Lepisosteus oculatus: one gene and its partner. The main gene of each other region encodes a partner of the protein of the gene in region 2 in a complex. Links are inferred from orthologs where the notes say so. Each region holds a gene or a part of one and is shown on either strand. Other genes may lie near its edges.

The links. The genes of interacting proteins can lie anywhere in the genome.
Region 1: the proteins of myo5aa (region 2) and melanophilin are in contact, whole or in part, in a crystal structure (PDB 4KP3), measured with the Mus musculus proteins. The link is inferred for Lepisosteus oculatus from reciprocal best matches to the Homo sapiens genes MYO5A and MLPH. Residues at the interface, in NP_034994.2 of Mus musculus: Asp1524, Val1527, Arg1528, Leu1531, Thr1532, Ile1535, Asn1536, Lys1539, Ser1570, Gly1571, Leu1588, Thr1589, Asn1590, Phe1591, Asp1592, Leu1593, Ala1594, Glu1595, Tyr1596, Val1599; in NP_443748.2 of Mus musculus: Lys184, Lys186, Arg187, Leu188, Leu189, Ser190, Phe191, Arg192, Asp195, Phe196, Glu197.

The regions. Positions count from the first base shown.
Region 1 is NC_090707.1:10,066,260-10,073,816, reverse strand, and holds the start of melanophilin, read right to left. Parts: upstream 3,017-7,557; 5' UTR 2,928-3,016; intron 1-2,927. UniProt on the Homo sapiens protein: Rab effector protein involved in melanosome transport. Serves as link between melanosome-bound RAB27A and the motor protein MYO5A.
Region 2 is NC_090700.1:44,823,297-44,830,371, forward strand, and holds the start of myo5aa (unconventional myosin-Va), read right to left. Parts: upstream 3,018-7,075; 5' UTR 2,762-3,017; coding exon 2,729-2,761; intron 1-2,728. UniProt on the Homo sapiens protein: Processive actin-based motor that can move in large steps approximating the 36-nm pseudo-repeat of the actin filament. Can hydrolyze ATP in the presence of actin, which is essential for its function as a motor protein. Involved in melanosome transport.

The sequences.
Region 1 (7,557 bases), on a different chromosome or scaffold from region 2:
TCAGATGCTTGACACAATGTAACTTCAAGTTGGTTTTAGAAAATAATGCAAATGGCTATTCAGTGTTCCAGTAGTTTGGTCAGCAGTGTAACTCACCTAGCTGGGGGAAGGGCAGACTAACCATAAGAATGAGGCTGACACAGGCCCCTCCCCCTTCACTTTCATGAGGAATGAGCAAGGGAGCTGCTGGAAGGGTGAAGAAGAGGTGTCGAGAAGGGTGCAAAAGAGAAGCACAAAGGGACATTCAGGAGGCAAGCTGCAGTATATACTGTGTATGTAGGAGAGTAGAAGTGGGCGAGATTAGGAACCGACTTTCTGCCACATTTGTTAAAACAGTCCATTTGTTGCACAAATGAAAATATTATATATATATACAACACTTTATTTAACATGTTTCCACAAACCTTTTGACCACTGTAAGATCACATAGCGATAATAAGCAAATAAAGTAGTAAACTTCAGTAAATTAACTCCTCTATGGTCACTCTTGAATGGATATCACTAATGTTTGATGTGCAGGTGTTACCTTTCAGTTACCAAAAAATAGATAACACTTTATTAAAGGGAGTGAAAACTCTTGTGTAAATCCGTCATAACGTAATACATTAATACAGTGTCAATAATCGAGTTATCCCTAGTAATGATTAATGGCACAGTTATTAGTCATATATGTACATTTCATAATTGTATAACTAATATAATTTTGTGGCTATTCATTTAATACTGGTAAAAAACTTAAAAGCTATGTTAGCAGTGTTAAATTCTGAGTAAATTAATGCTCCTGAAAAACTGTTTTTGCATTATTACTTTAAATCTTATTATTTGATTTCTCATTTAGTAGTCTTTTACACAGAAGTTATAGAACGTTTTAATAACCTGCCTAGATGGTGTTTGTTATGCACTGTGGACTAAACGAATTCATGACCTGCAGGTCAGGATTTACTGGAGGGACATGTTTACTCCACCCACAATAAGCAGTCAAACTTCCATCTTGTAAAGAAACCAACTATAGAGCGAAAATATTATCCCTACTGCTTATAAATTATCCATCTTTCTTTGTGTATTTATATAAACTAGTATTTGTTTTCTGAATGGGGCCTTATGTTGAAAGGCCATTACGTTTTCCCGTTACAAATGATACAAAATAAAAATAACAAAAAAAATGAAAATATTTTGTATGAACAGTATACTATTTTAACATCAAAATTTTGATAAAATGCCAAATCCAAAGGATAATTATACTCGTCAAAAAAACATCATAAACAAGGGGATTTGTTAATAAATTTACTTTGAAATTGTGACAAAACTGCATGACATAATACAGTCGTATTAGTGACCAACTACAGTAGGTTCACTATTACGTCGTGTAGTCAATGCAAAGCGCTAACTTCACGTTTACCGAAACTTTCTCCCTGTAATACAAAACCCGTGATCAATATTCCTATAATGCTATTTGAAAAAGAAAACGGCACGCCCTGTTGACTAATATTTTGATTACGAGTAAAGGTAAAACAAGGATTGGCACTTTGTGTGTGTACAATCTTGAGGGTGTGAGATATTTAAGCACCTTGGATCTCTTGAGATTAAAACGAGTTGGCTACTTACATCGACGCCTACTGTACTAGTATCGGTAAATTCCTTTATAGACCATATTCTTTTTAAAGTGCGCCCTTGCAAATCAATGACAGTTGCCTAAGTCTAACTCTAAGGCTAACAAATCGTAGTCAAGTTAAATTCAATTTACTTAAAATGCACAACATTTAAGTGAAATTATAGTAAAAACGGACAAACGAAATGGGTAGCATCAGGATACGATACAAAGTTAAAATCTCGTGCGAAGGTAAAGGGAATAATTCGCAGATATTCAAAATAGTATTTTAAATATATTTTTTTTAAATATTAGACGGAATAAGACTAGGTACACTAAGCAGCACATATCCAGCAAGGACGTCAGAAGAATTAACAACAGTTTGTCGAGAAAAAGAGAATATATACTGTACGACATATTCTCTTTTTCTCGTCATTAAAGACAGAAGAACCTGTGCATTAAGGTTGAATAAGTGGATATGGAATGCTATTAACTATGTATAAAAAGATGTTAAGATGTTAAATATTTACATTTTGTCTAAAACTCTTTTGCTATTTATCTTTTAAAGATAACTTTAAGAATCCAATTCAGCAGGGAAATTGGCTTTTGTACAATGCTTCATAATGCTCATTTGTTTTATAATGACAAAATGTTTTTGGCCAAAAAATATTCACACGTTTAAGTGTTATCATTATATATACAGTATACTAACACTATAACACTAAAATATGATCTAACATCCTCATACAAACCACGCAGTGTACAATTGTTGATATATTGTTATTTCAGCAAGGAAACAATAATTAACGCTACAGTTAAAAAAAAACTTTATGCAAAGGCAACAGCATCATATTAAAAGAAGCACGCCCTTTCTGAATCCGGGTGACACACCATCTTTACATCAGACCTGTTATGCAAAAGTCCTATTTGCACAAAAAGGGTGGTTTAGGATGTATCACCATCTACGTGAAAAAGAACTGTGTAGTGGTATGCCAGTAGCTAACTAATATCTTGCCATTACGTTCAGAATTGCAATATAAAATGCGCCTTACTTGTTTTATTTACTGGTATTTCTGGCAACAACAACAATTTACTTTTTATTCCAGTTGTTGACTTTTATCATTCATTTGTATGCATTTGTTGTGTACTGTTATAAGATATACTGCATTGTAAAGAAAACCTCAACCTCAGTTTTATTCTGTTTAAATTCAAACGTCAAGATATCAGCTGAGGGAAAATAAAACAGTTATTGATTTTTAAAATACATTTTCTGCATTATCGACGCAAATGTAAAGAGAAGAGCCGAAAATTAACCAGTTTTTAAAATGTTAATATTTACCTTCACCTGTACCCTGACTGTGCTGTTACGAGCTTTAATCCCTGGAGAGTTTGACAGCAAAACTGTAAAAGGGTTTAAGTAAATTAATCACATGCTAAGTTAACTAAGGGGGGTATCCAATCTCCGCCCCCTTTGCACTTTCACAACGGGTCATTTCATATCACAAGGTTAGTTAACATGGCTGTTTACGGAACATATTTATAGAAAACTAAAGACTTTTTAGCTCACGGATGCAAATAATTTGTTGTACAGGTATATCAAAATAGTACAGGACGCCCACATATTTGGTGACCTAAAACCTTTACACGATGCCAGCAAGACTCCTTTTCTGAATTCTTTATTATTTCTAAGAAAAGTTTTCTTCAGCTTTTTCCCTTTGGGAATCCCAAAAGTGTTCTGAAGACTACTGTATTTGTTACGATCCATAAGGAGTTTTGAAGAATAAAAATATTTTTCTGGAGTCCCAGAGCTACAGTATGTGGGAGATTTAATAGTTACTTGTACCAGCACTAGTACAGTACGTGTTAATCTTATTTAAGGACACAATATATTTGTATGAACATGTGTTCTCACATTAGTGTAGGTCATAAATCTAAGCTATACTAACACTTAGAGTTAACCTCTAAGTGTTTCACTGTAGTGCTAGTGTTAACCACTCAGGTAGATGTTTATAAAAGGTAATTCACAATAAAATATTTCTAAATAAATAATGTATGTGGAAAGACTATATTGTGTTTTTTCTTTATGGTTAATTATATATTTTGCTCTGATTAATGGGCGTTTTCAATAAAAGCTCAGGAGGAGGTCCAAACTTTGTCTTGACTACTTCCATTTACAGTATACATACTGTAAATATCATCATTAAATCTTGCAGGAGCTCCTGGGATCATCCCTCATAAAAAGTTAGGGCTCTGACATCCTCATCCTCACAGCCAGGTTGTCAATTCAGGCAGGCGCGTAAAACCAGCAAAGCAAACTAATTCAAATCATGCCTGGTCTGCACCATCTTAATCATGGTTTGTCCAAACTGTTGAACAGACAGAATTAGCACACTGAAGTCATAACAGACTTTAAGAGGAAGCCATGAGGAATGCAATTGTTTTAGCCCTGGTGTAAAGCAGGGAGGATTCATTGCTGAATTTGGGCACTTTCATCTTTAAGAGATCTTCTGGACGATGTCCATAGGCCATACATGTGGAAAACACTGACCTAGAAACTAACTACTTCTCAACTTTGTTTTGTTCTGACGACAGACATGAGGATTTTAAAATGCCTTTCAGCATTATGTAAAGAGCCCAATTAATTGTTCATCGGATTCCAGCAAAACAAGCTATTTGTGCTTGGGCAGTTTGAGCCAGAAGAACTTCGAACAAACAGCTTCTTTTCCATGTGTCAACAACATCTTATCTACCGTCCTCTATTTTATAATTAGTTTATAAACTTAACTTAACTTTCAATGCTGTGAAAATTCAGACACAGAATATTCTTTAAAGACGTGAATGAAACACTTTACTTCGACTGTTCGTGTTATGAGGAAAATCTGAGTCAATGTGCCTGTCATGTGCTCTCTGCAAGAAGTGATTCCATTTTTTTTCTGCTGTGAAAAAGCTAATCTTCCAAATGAAAATGACATTTTTTCGATCTCTGCACTAGTATTTATTAAGCATGTAGTACTAGTACACAGTATGTACTGTACAGGATAGGAAAAGTAGAACTAATCTGTTAGTCAGTGGTACCAACTCTGCTCTGTGTGTTGTGCATATGAAGGATACATTATCTGGCTTTAGTTTTCCCTGTTTGGATCCTGAATTCTAAATAAGGTAAATAAGAGGTCTGATTTTCTTGCTACTCAGACTCCAAGATTAGCACTGTTTTAAATCAGCAGTCGGCGTTTAGTACAAATCTGAAGTCATTTGGTGAAAGGAGGGTGATTTTTAAAGCAAAGATCATGGTTATGCTTTTGGATGCCCCTACAGTTTGCTTGAATAGTTTTCCTTTCTAGCTCTTTCTGTGCACACACCTGTCTTGCTTCGAGAGCAATAATGCATTTAATGTTAATAAATCAGAAAACATTGGAAATTTAATAGAAAAGGGTTTCTCTACACTTATTTTACCTGGTCCCTTATCAGCACAAAATATATATGGTGACAAAAAGAGAGGGAGTAGAAATTATGGTAAAAGCTTGACAGAGTATGGTAAGGCATGATAAATGCTGGGAGTCATAGTAAAGCATAGTAAATGCTTAGTATTAGCAGGTAAACCATGGAAAAGCAGTAAAACTACTATGCATATACTGTATATACTATGATAAAGCCTTTTAAGGGAGATCTCACATCCAAGTCTTGGAGAACCTTAGTGTTGTTTGTTTTTCTTTCAAACCAAGCTCTCAGCTACTTAACTGAACCAATTGTCTTAATAACTGGAAAATAATCCATCCATCCATTTTATAACTGCTTCAACCAACACAGGGCCGCGGGGGAGCTGGAATCTAGTGGAGCAAGCAACAAGGACACACCCTTGACTGCTGTCCATTGCAGTACTGGGAAATTATATTTTTTAAACATTTCTCAAATTAAAAGAATTGAAACTCTCCAGAACCGATGGTAGAGATCAATCAGTATTTTTTTTCTTCTGTACAGTAGGCAAAACCTTAGAAGAGCAGTATCACTATAGATTATTGAAAACATTTATTTTCAGAAAAAAGCCCTAAACATGTATTAGCAAGCGGTTTAAGGAAAAGCACGTACATCTTTAAGTCATGGTAAGGAATACCCTGTAAATAATAACATTTCCCATCTGCTTCAACAGGGTAAATTACATTTTATTATTTTCTAGTTAGTTTGAATTTAACTTTGTCTACATGCAAAACATTAGCACACAAAAAAAACTTCTGTCAGGATTACCATGCCTTTGGCAGCTCAGTCTGTAATGTATAAAGAGCTTTTTGTTTGATTGCCTTTCTGCTTTATTTTTCAAGCCATGTGATGGATGTGATCTGTCACGGTTAGCAGGACATAAGAATATGAGTGTTATCAAGCGAGAGGAGGCCATTCAGCCCATCTAACCTGTTACGTTTTTAGTAACTTATTCACCTGAAGATTTTATCCAGCCATTTCCTGAAAGAAGCACAAGTATCAGCTTCAACAACATGCCTGGATAGCCTGTTTCAGGCTCCCAGAAACGTTTGTGTAAAGAAAAGGTACTCTACCATGTGAACTCACTTTTACACACATTTTCCTGTAGTTTCCATGTAAGTCCTCTGGTTCCTGTTTCACTGGTGATTCTGAAGCAGTCCATTAGGTTAACTTTGACAGTGTCTTTGAGAATGTTTTTGTCTGTTGAAGACTAAGAAGATTCAATTCTGTCAGCCTGTCAGCATCTGGTTCCTATTCTCTGGACCGATTCCATAATATCAATATCTATTTTGTGTTATAGTGGACAAAATTGCACACAATATTCTAAATAAAGTCTAACTAGTGCACTGTATTGTTTTAACTTAACATTCCTCAATTTAAGGTCTACACTTTTAAGTATAAATCCCAACATTCTGTTTGCCTTTTGCATTGCTTCCTTACAGTGTGTGAAAATGAAAACAATGTGCCTACTGTACATAGACATTGAAATCTTTCTCAAGTAGCCTTTTCTGGGGCTCCCATTAAGATGGTTGATGGATTCATTCCTATTGGCAAATCAGCTTCCATGAATTTGATGTTCTATATCCAATTTCCCCTTTCAGAAGAAGGTATATCCACCTCTGCCTTCCTTGACTTGCTCTTCTCAAACTCATCAGGTTCAGTCAAAGTGGTCATGTCAATGTCATATCTCGGGTGTTTTTGTGCCACAAATGCAGAGATGTTTTGTCGGAACAGTCTATGATGGTTCATGTCCTCTCTCATTTGCATTTTCAGTCAGAAGATTAATCCCTCTGGAAGCAGTTATCCAATTAAGTGTGATTATATAGACCATGTTTAAGGCACATTTTGTTTCCACTCCCCCAATTTTTTTTTTAATTTCACACTCACATCAAAATCTGAACCATTATAGCTATTCCACTCTTCTGATCTATATTAAGTCACTGGTTATGAATTCAGAGTTAACATGTCACAGTAAAGCCCAAGGTTCATAATACAAAGCTGTCAATAAGCAGACAGAAAATACTTTGCATACTGTTTGTCTTGTGCTCTGCATCATAGAAGACAGCTTTTGAATTAAGCATGATCATTTATGCTGTTTTCATAAAGTATAAAATCTGTCAATATTTTAAAGCATAAAAAGAACCTTAGAAGGCAGCTCTTGTATATAACAAAATATTAACAAAATGTGCAGCAGTGTAGCCACATAAAGGAATAATAATTAGTGACCAAAAACCAGTAGTTACTGAAACCAGCAAAAAAGGAGCTTTAAACCACAGACTGAGAACCCTGGTTTACAATTTAATAAATTCAGTGTAAATTGTGAGCATCATAAAAATAACCGTTTAGATATAATGAAAATTATGGAAAATTATGGAGAAGCACTGGCAAGAAAGCAAAGGACTACATTTAATTGTAAAATGTAATCTTATTCAATTGAAGTCCTTCTCACAAAGAAATTTTGGCTATTATTGCACACATATATTTAGTCTAGAAGC
Region 2 (7,075 bases):
CTTATGATTACATCAGTGAAATAAAGAAATTACAAGAGGATTTTAACAGGAAGATATTTGCATAATGTCCCAGTAATTTTAAATATCAGCCTAGAAACTACTATCCCTAGAATACTGTGTGAACATTTCAGTCAACCATAAAATGAAAGAAGTTCAAGTTGGTAGCTGTGTCAGCATGCATAGGCTGCAAAGGAACAGCTAAACGTTTTATTCCATGCTGAGAAGAAAAGAGACTCAACGTTTGGACTCTGGAGCCTTCTTCAGGAGGCTGAAGAAGGCTCCACAGTCCAAACACCGAGTCTATTTTCTTTTCAGCAATGAAATAAACCATTTGTGTTCCTTTGCATAAAATAAAGGGTTATGCAGTTGCTGAATTCATTTGGGTCCCTAGTGTTTCCAAGTGTACTCAGCCAAATGGAGATTGAGAGTTAACCTTCTACGTCAACAAGCGTAACTTCAAATGTCAAACCTTGATTTCTTCTTTTGTTTGGAACACTGGAAAATATTTATTTGCAAATACAGAGACCACAGTTCTTAAACTTGACCTCTTTTCATTATGGCATAAATATATCACAGCATATTTGGGAGTCTTGAGAAATATACAGCAAAGAGCTTCACAACTGCTGTTGAAAAATGGGTAACAGAAATATTTAATTAGTGTACCCTTAGGGTGTTGCAAACTGGATACACCTTCCTCTCCCACAAGTAAAATACTTTTAACTGTGAATCATAACTGCAGTTAAAGTTTAACAAACTGCTTCAAGGTGGTCTTAAATATGCAAACCCCTACTGTATATATGAAAGCACATGAGCTACAGATTAATTGAAAAGGCTTATATGTAGAATATTTAATATAATATTTATATTCTCACTAGTTTTTCAGCGTTGCACCCCTGCCTTTTCTGATCATCACATAGGTCTAGTTCTGCTATTTGCTGTCTGCCACTTATAGCTGTTAAAATGCTGAGTTGCAGATATAATCATCACAATGCAGTAACTGAGTCTCAGGCTATGCATGACTACACAAAAATCTGAAGGAGCCACTGCTAATCTAACATGAACTCAAAACAGCTCATCACATGACAGAAGTTCATGTGAGAATCTGCTGCTTTTCTGGATTGCCCAAGACATCCAGTCTTCTGGATGGTCCCTCCTGTTTTGTGCTATATGGTTCCTCTGTTTTGTGTTATAAGGACTTCTCACCAGCCGTAGTACAAAAAAAACCCACAATCACCCATTTATAAAATCTGTACTCCCCTTTAAGTCATTACTGACAGGCTTTCCATAGTACAGCATCAAAGTACTTCTACTTTTGTCATACCTCTCTAATCTGGAAGGACTGAAATCATCACAAGAGGCAATAGGAGTAAATATATTCCTGTGCTTTTACTATTGAGATTTCTTTTCCACAGTCCTTTTTGCTATTAAATGAATCTGTTACCACAGATATCTACTGTGAGTTCTAAGTAGCTCTCTACAGTTAACACTGTCTTGTTTGAGGATGCTCCTCGGAAACGCTATGGAATGAAGAACAGAAGGGGTCCCACTGTCACCTGCGTCATGAGGGGCTGGAAGAAAAGAAGGCTGGCCATCCAGTTATCATGGTATTTGTCTCAATCTGTGAAGCCCTGCTCCCAGAAGCAAAAGGAGAAGTATCAGCAACTTTGCTTATCTACTGCAGGTAACTGTGACTGCCCCATGCATTACAGACACATGGTTAGGAAATTAAAATGATTACAAATCCAACCATTTTCTTAACCAATTATCCATTACAGGATCACAGTAAGCCAAAAATGCAGCCTATCCTATAGCAAGCAACAGGAACAACGCAGCACCCTGAACAGGACACACGTCCATTTCAGGGCACAGATACAAACACAAACACACACCAGGGCCAGCTTTCCCTGATGTTAATTGACCTAACAGTATGTCTTTGGACTGTGGAAGGAAGCCAGAGCACCTGAAGGAAACCCACACGACCAAAAGAAGAATATACAAACTCCGTGCAGAGAACACCCCAGGATCTGAACCCAGAGCTCAGCCCTGCAAAGCGTCAATGCTGCATCACGTACCACCCATTATTAATGTTATCAAAAGAATAATCATGCATGAGAAATGGGTCTTATTTTCTGGATGTATTCTAAGGAGTGACAATTGCTAACACACAGCAATTATAACAGAGGACTGACACAGTAAAGCACATCTAGCGTTTTCAGTCCTTTTCAGACAACATGTTTCAGGGTTCTTGAACTATTTTGCTTTCTGTAATAATTCTCACTTCAGGTATCACTTTACTCATTGCATGCTATGTGTCCTGGTGTCTTCAGAGTTGTAGGGTGTAACACTCTTCTGTAGTGTGAGATTTTGTTTAATCCTAAGACAACACTGCAATGTTAAGGATACTGCCTTCTCGCTATCAAAAATACAAAGTACACTCTCAGAGAAAATTCAAATGATTAAAAATGGGAAAACAGTCAAACCCACAGCTGGTTTGACAGTAGCAAACACTAGCAATTCCTCCTAAAATAACTCATCTGATCATTTGTGATACGTCCAAGGTTCTGTACCCAAAATATCATAAGTCAAAATTATTTCTCTGGAGACCCAATCAGATAATTCAGGAAATGATAAAGGCATGTCCAGTTGCCTATCTGAAGCACACCAAAAGCTCCTTTGCTTACCTTCACATGTATGAACAACAAACAAAGCAAGATATGGAGGTACTTACTTTTACGTACATAAAATCCAACTCCTGGTTCATCTTCAAGCTCTTTGAAAGCACTATTTACTGACGAGCTTAATAACTTTGTTGAGACATGAAATGCAGCCAGCACAGAGAAAATGGATTGGTTGAAGTCACACTTGATGAAGGCTTTCCATTGCAGCTACAAGTGTTTACGGGCTTCTACTGTAGCTACAAGAATCTTGATATTCCACACTGCTGGACTTATCACCAGTGAGACTAGGAGCTGAAGGACACTTCCACAGCCCTCCAGAGCACAGACACAGCCCAGTACGAGTGGCGAATTTCTGATTGCTATGATGTGTACTCAGTTATCTTTCAATGGCATTTTATTTTCCCATTTAGAGCACAAAGGGGAGAGTGTTTTCGAATGGGCTACGTAGTAAGACAATTATGAACACAGCTGGTCTTATGACAATTCATGGTCTACAAGATAGTGGATCACCAATTGCCTCCAAGGCAAGGAGTTAATGCAGAGCACAGAAACTGCTTTTCTTCCTAAGCTTGGAAACCCACACATTTCTATTAATTTGAAAGCTGGACCAATTACGGAAAAATAATATGTTAGGGGACACAGGACTTGGGCATACAATCAAATAAAGTTCTGCTGAACATTCCGTGCATAAATACATTCAAAGGCATAGTACTGAACTGACGTTGCAATATTTCAGTGGAGAACCAGCAAAGTCACACAGCAGCAAAGCACTCTGTTAAAGACATGCTGAATAAAGAGAGAACAATATTGCATACTGCAGAATTACTCTATTTAAAGCATGTGTATGTATGGCTAAAATCATCTGTTTCAATGACTAGACCACAACTTCCTTGTCATACATTTGTGTTTATTTCTGCATTAACCTTTTTTGTTGGCATTTTTCATTTTTTAAATACATTACGTTAAACCAGGTGCATTCCTTATTTGAGGGAGAAGGTGAGAAGAAGTGAGAAATGAGCCCATCTTGTGCAATCTGCATGCACTGGTACGCCCTAGTTTCGAAGGTGCAGAAACTGTAGAAATCTGTAGCCATGCATCCCTATCAGGAGCTGCTGTGCCAGTGAAGGCGTAGGCCAAGTCCATGAGCTGCTGGCTCTGCCTGAGCCTTACATCATCTGTGCTCACTGCCTCTTTGTGGTTAGGAACTCAAGGTTTGGTAAGAGGCTCATTACACTTCTAGACCAAACAGAGCACTGCATTGCTATTACATCATTTCCTCAGGGAAGGGACTGCAGACAGCAAGATTAAACAAATCGCAAGGACCTCGGTATCAGTCCCATCTTCGCTACCACCATGCCTAATGCAACCATGCTTTTATTTTGCGTGAACAGCCAAGAATGTGTTTTGTTTGGCGCATTTCGTTTCTGTTTCTGCTTCAAGAGATGGACAAAATAATTCGATTTCATGAATCTGCCTCAATCTTGCTATAACTTGTTCTAAGAACAAGAACATTCTGAGCATTTTCTTTGCAAAAACCAATTAACTTTTTTTGTAACACACAGGTTACACAAAGGCAGATGTGGACAGCTGAATGCAAGCTTGGTACAAGCACAGGCAAACACTGATGACTAAAGTATGCCTGAACATTCCTGTGTCTGTCAGCTGTGAAACCCTTAGAGATGTTTACAAAGCTAATGAAGTTCTCACACGCTGGCTTAAGACAAATGGACTATTTATTCTGCCCTGGAATACTGCAATTACTAAACTTAAAGTTATGCTTTTCTCCTTCCTGCCACTGCTTAGATTACAGGATGTGCTGTGAATATGGCCTAATAAAAATATGCACAGATGAAGAAAAAATACTTTTTCATAAAACCTAGTCTATAAACCATGCTCATATTCATAGCATGCGATTCCTATAGTTCCAGTCACACTATTAAAAGTAATCTATTTTTTAGATAAGAAAATAAATTCTGTTGACCTTACACTTCAATATATTGCATAGAGTAGTGATAAGGCCAATTTGATCAGCAATGCAGGACTGAGGGCATGCAGTTCATTAGACTCCAGTCCATGGACTGTGATGTTGCCACTACTCCTCTGGGCCAGCAGCCTGAACCAGGACTAACAAAGCTGCTCTCCAAGGTGCTTAATTAGTTAATGGGTTATGATCTGACTGTGTTTTTCAAGCAAAAATAATAACGGAACTGTACATTAGCATGTATTTATATCGTGTAACAACATAATAGCGCGCCTCTACACAGAGAATGTACAGTAATAATTACGGTCTAATAAATCCAGTTTCAATCAACTGCATTCTATGGAGATGAATCTGTCAACGGTGTACAGTGAATCCAATCAACAGCTCATCCATTACCGGGTTGCCTTGTGCTGATTTCACAGCACAAAAAGAGGCAGCGGTTTGCACAGCGTTAAGGCAAGGTGGCTGGGGCACCTTGCGCCACAGTGCATCGTCACTGATGGAAATGGCCTGGCTCAGCATCACAGCCGTACCTATCCTGCGTTCTTCGTTCAACTTCACAGTCCGACTCGCACACACAGTAAACACCGGGCTGAAGATGCAGCCCTCGAAAAAACAGCCTTATTCCGGACTGTTACTCGTCCATATCCTTAAAGAATGTTAAATTCTAAAGGAGGTTCGTTAGTAGCACTTGATTTTCCATCAGCAGTATTTTCTGCAACCATCGCCCCCTGACACTCCACAGTTACGCATAAGCATTAAATGTGCTCAATCTAATTTATAGGAAAATAGCTATACTCTGAAAAAAAAACAATAATTACATCCATTCTCCCCTTGACTTGAAAAAATAATTCCGAGAATATGGTAGAATTTAACGTCTCTGAGCACATTTGAAGGACAGAGCTGTGCAAGTACCGGTTAATTTAACTGCCCTCGGGTGAATCAGACAAGCATTCGTAAGACACTGATTTTTTTTTTAAAGGAATAAAAAACGGTGTCCTGCAGCAGCAGCACTGTAGCACCAAAAGTCTCGTTTCAGCGCCACATCGCACACACGCAATTCAGTGGTACATTAAACTGCGGAGAACCAAAAATCAAAAGATGTCATTCATTCATTCCTGCCTGCCTGGCCATTGTTCAATCGTCTGCTCCACCGGCAGCTGGTTTGCTCTTTTTCTGTGGGGGGGGGGACAACATCACAGAACGGGAAATACAATCTTAACTCAGACGCGCATCCCAAAACACGGGACGGCTGCTGGGAAACAGTAACATGCAAAAGCTGCAGCTGCAATCTGAACGCCGCACCGTCAAGCGGAATACAAAATCCAGCATTACCTTTGTGTACAGCTCGGACGCTGCCATGACGGTCTATCCAGCGTTGGTCTAATCCTGGTCAGCAGAACATCAGTGGTGCGCTTAATTTGTCGGACTCGCTTCACTGGCGTTGCTCTCTTGTTCTTTGTAAATCCTTTCCAGCAAACGGGGAGACGGCTCAAGCAGAGGTAGCAAACGCCATGATACCTGAAAATCTTGCTATTTTAGTGTCTCTCTGTGCATTCTGGGTATGATGAATGAAATCATTCAGCGAAAACCCGTTGCTAACCATGAATCTGATGTAATCCGAGCGACGGCTGCCTCCCAGCGGCGGTGCTTCATTTTTAACACAGTTCTGTCAAATGTTGAAATAAATAGAGCGTCCGTCGGTGGCGTAAATCAGGTTTCGAAAGAAGCTGTAATCAACATTCATTTTCCAAACAATGCACATACTGAGTGGTATAAATTTGAAAGGCATCTGAGTATGTCACGAAAAACTAGGGTAGAAATGTAAATGAGAACGTGAGAACTAGACCATGGTTTTTTAACGTTGTAATAGGGATATATCCGCAGCAGGGAACTACTATTAAATCTGTGTCTTCCAATATGAAGCTAATTTTCTTGATAAAAAGTTTAGTTAGCAGAACTATAGTTTAATATTCCATATGAATAATAATGTCCTTTCCGTTGACAACCATTGTACTGTCTAGACTTCTTAAGAGTAATAGCCTTAGTCAATCTTAATTAAAAAGAAACTTTAATTCTGTCCAAGACACGATAAGGATGTGAGTACAGCAACTTGAGACTATGCAATTAATTTAACTAAACGTTTTAAAGTTATGTTTTCATTGTTAGATGCTTGACAGATTAATTTAATAAAACAATAACCGAAAGGAGTGTATCTTCTGTTATTGGGGAGAATTGGGGAGAGTTTAACTGATCCGTACCCAGTTGATAACTGCAAAACAATTACATTATTTTAGTCAAATTAAAAATCAAAATATCGTTCAATGAGTTTCTTGATGCCTCTTGACCAACAATATAGCGATCTCTTTAAGTTATCTATTGCACCTCTTTCTTCAGTAAACGCTAAAATCCATCA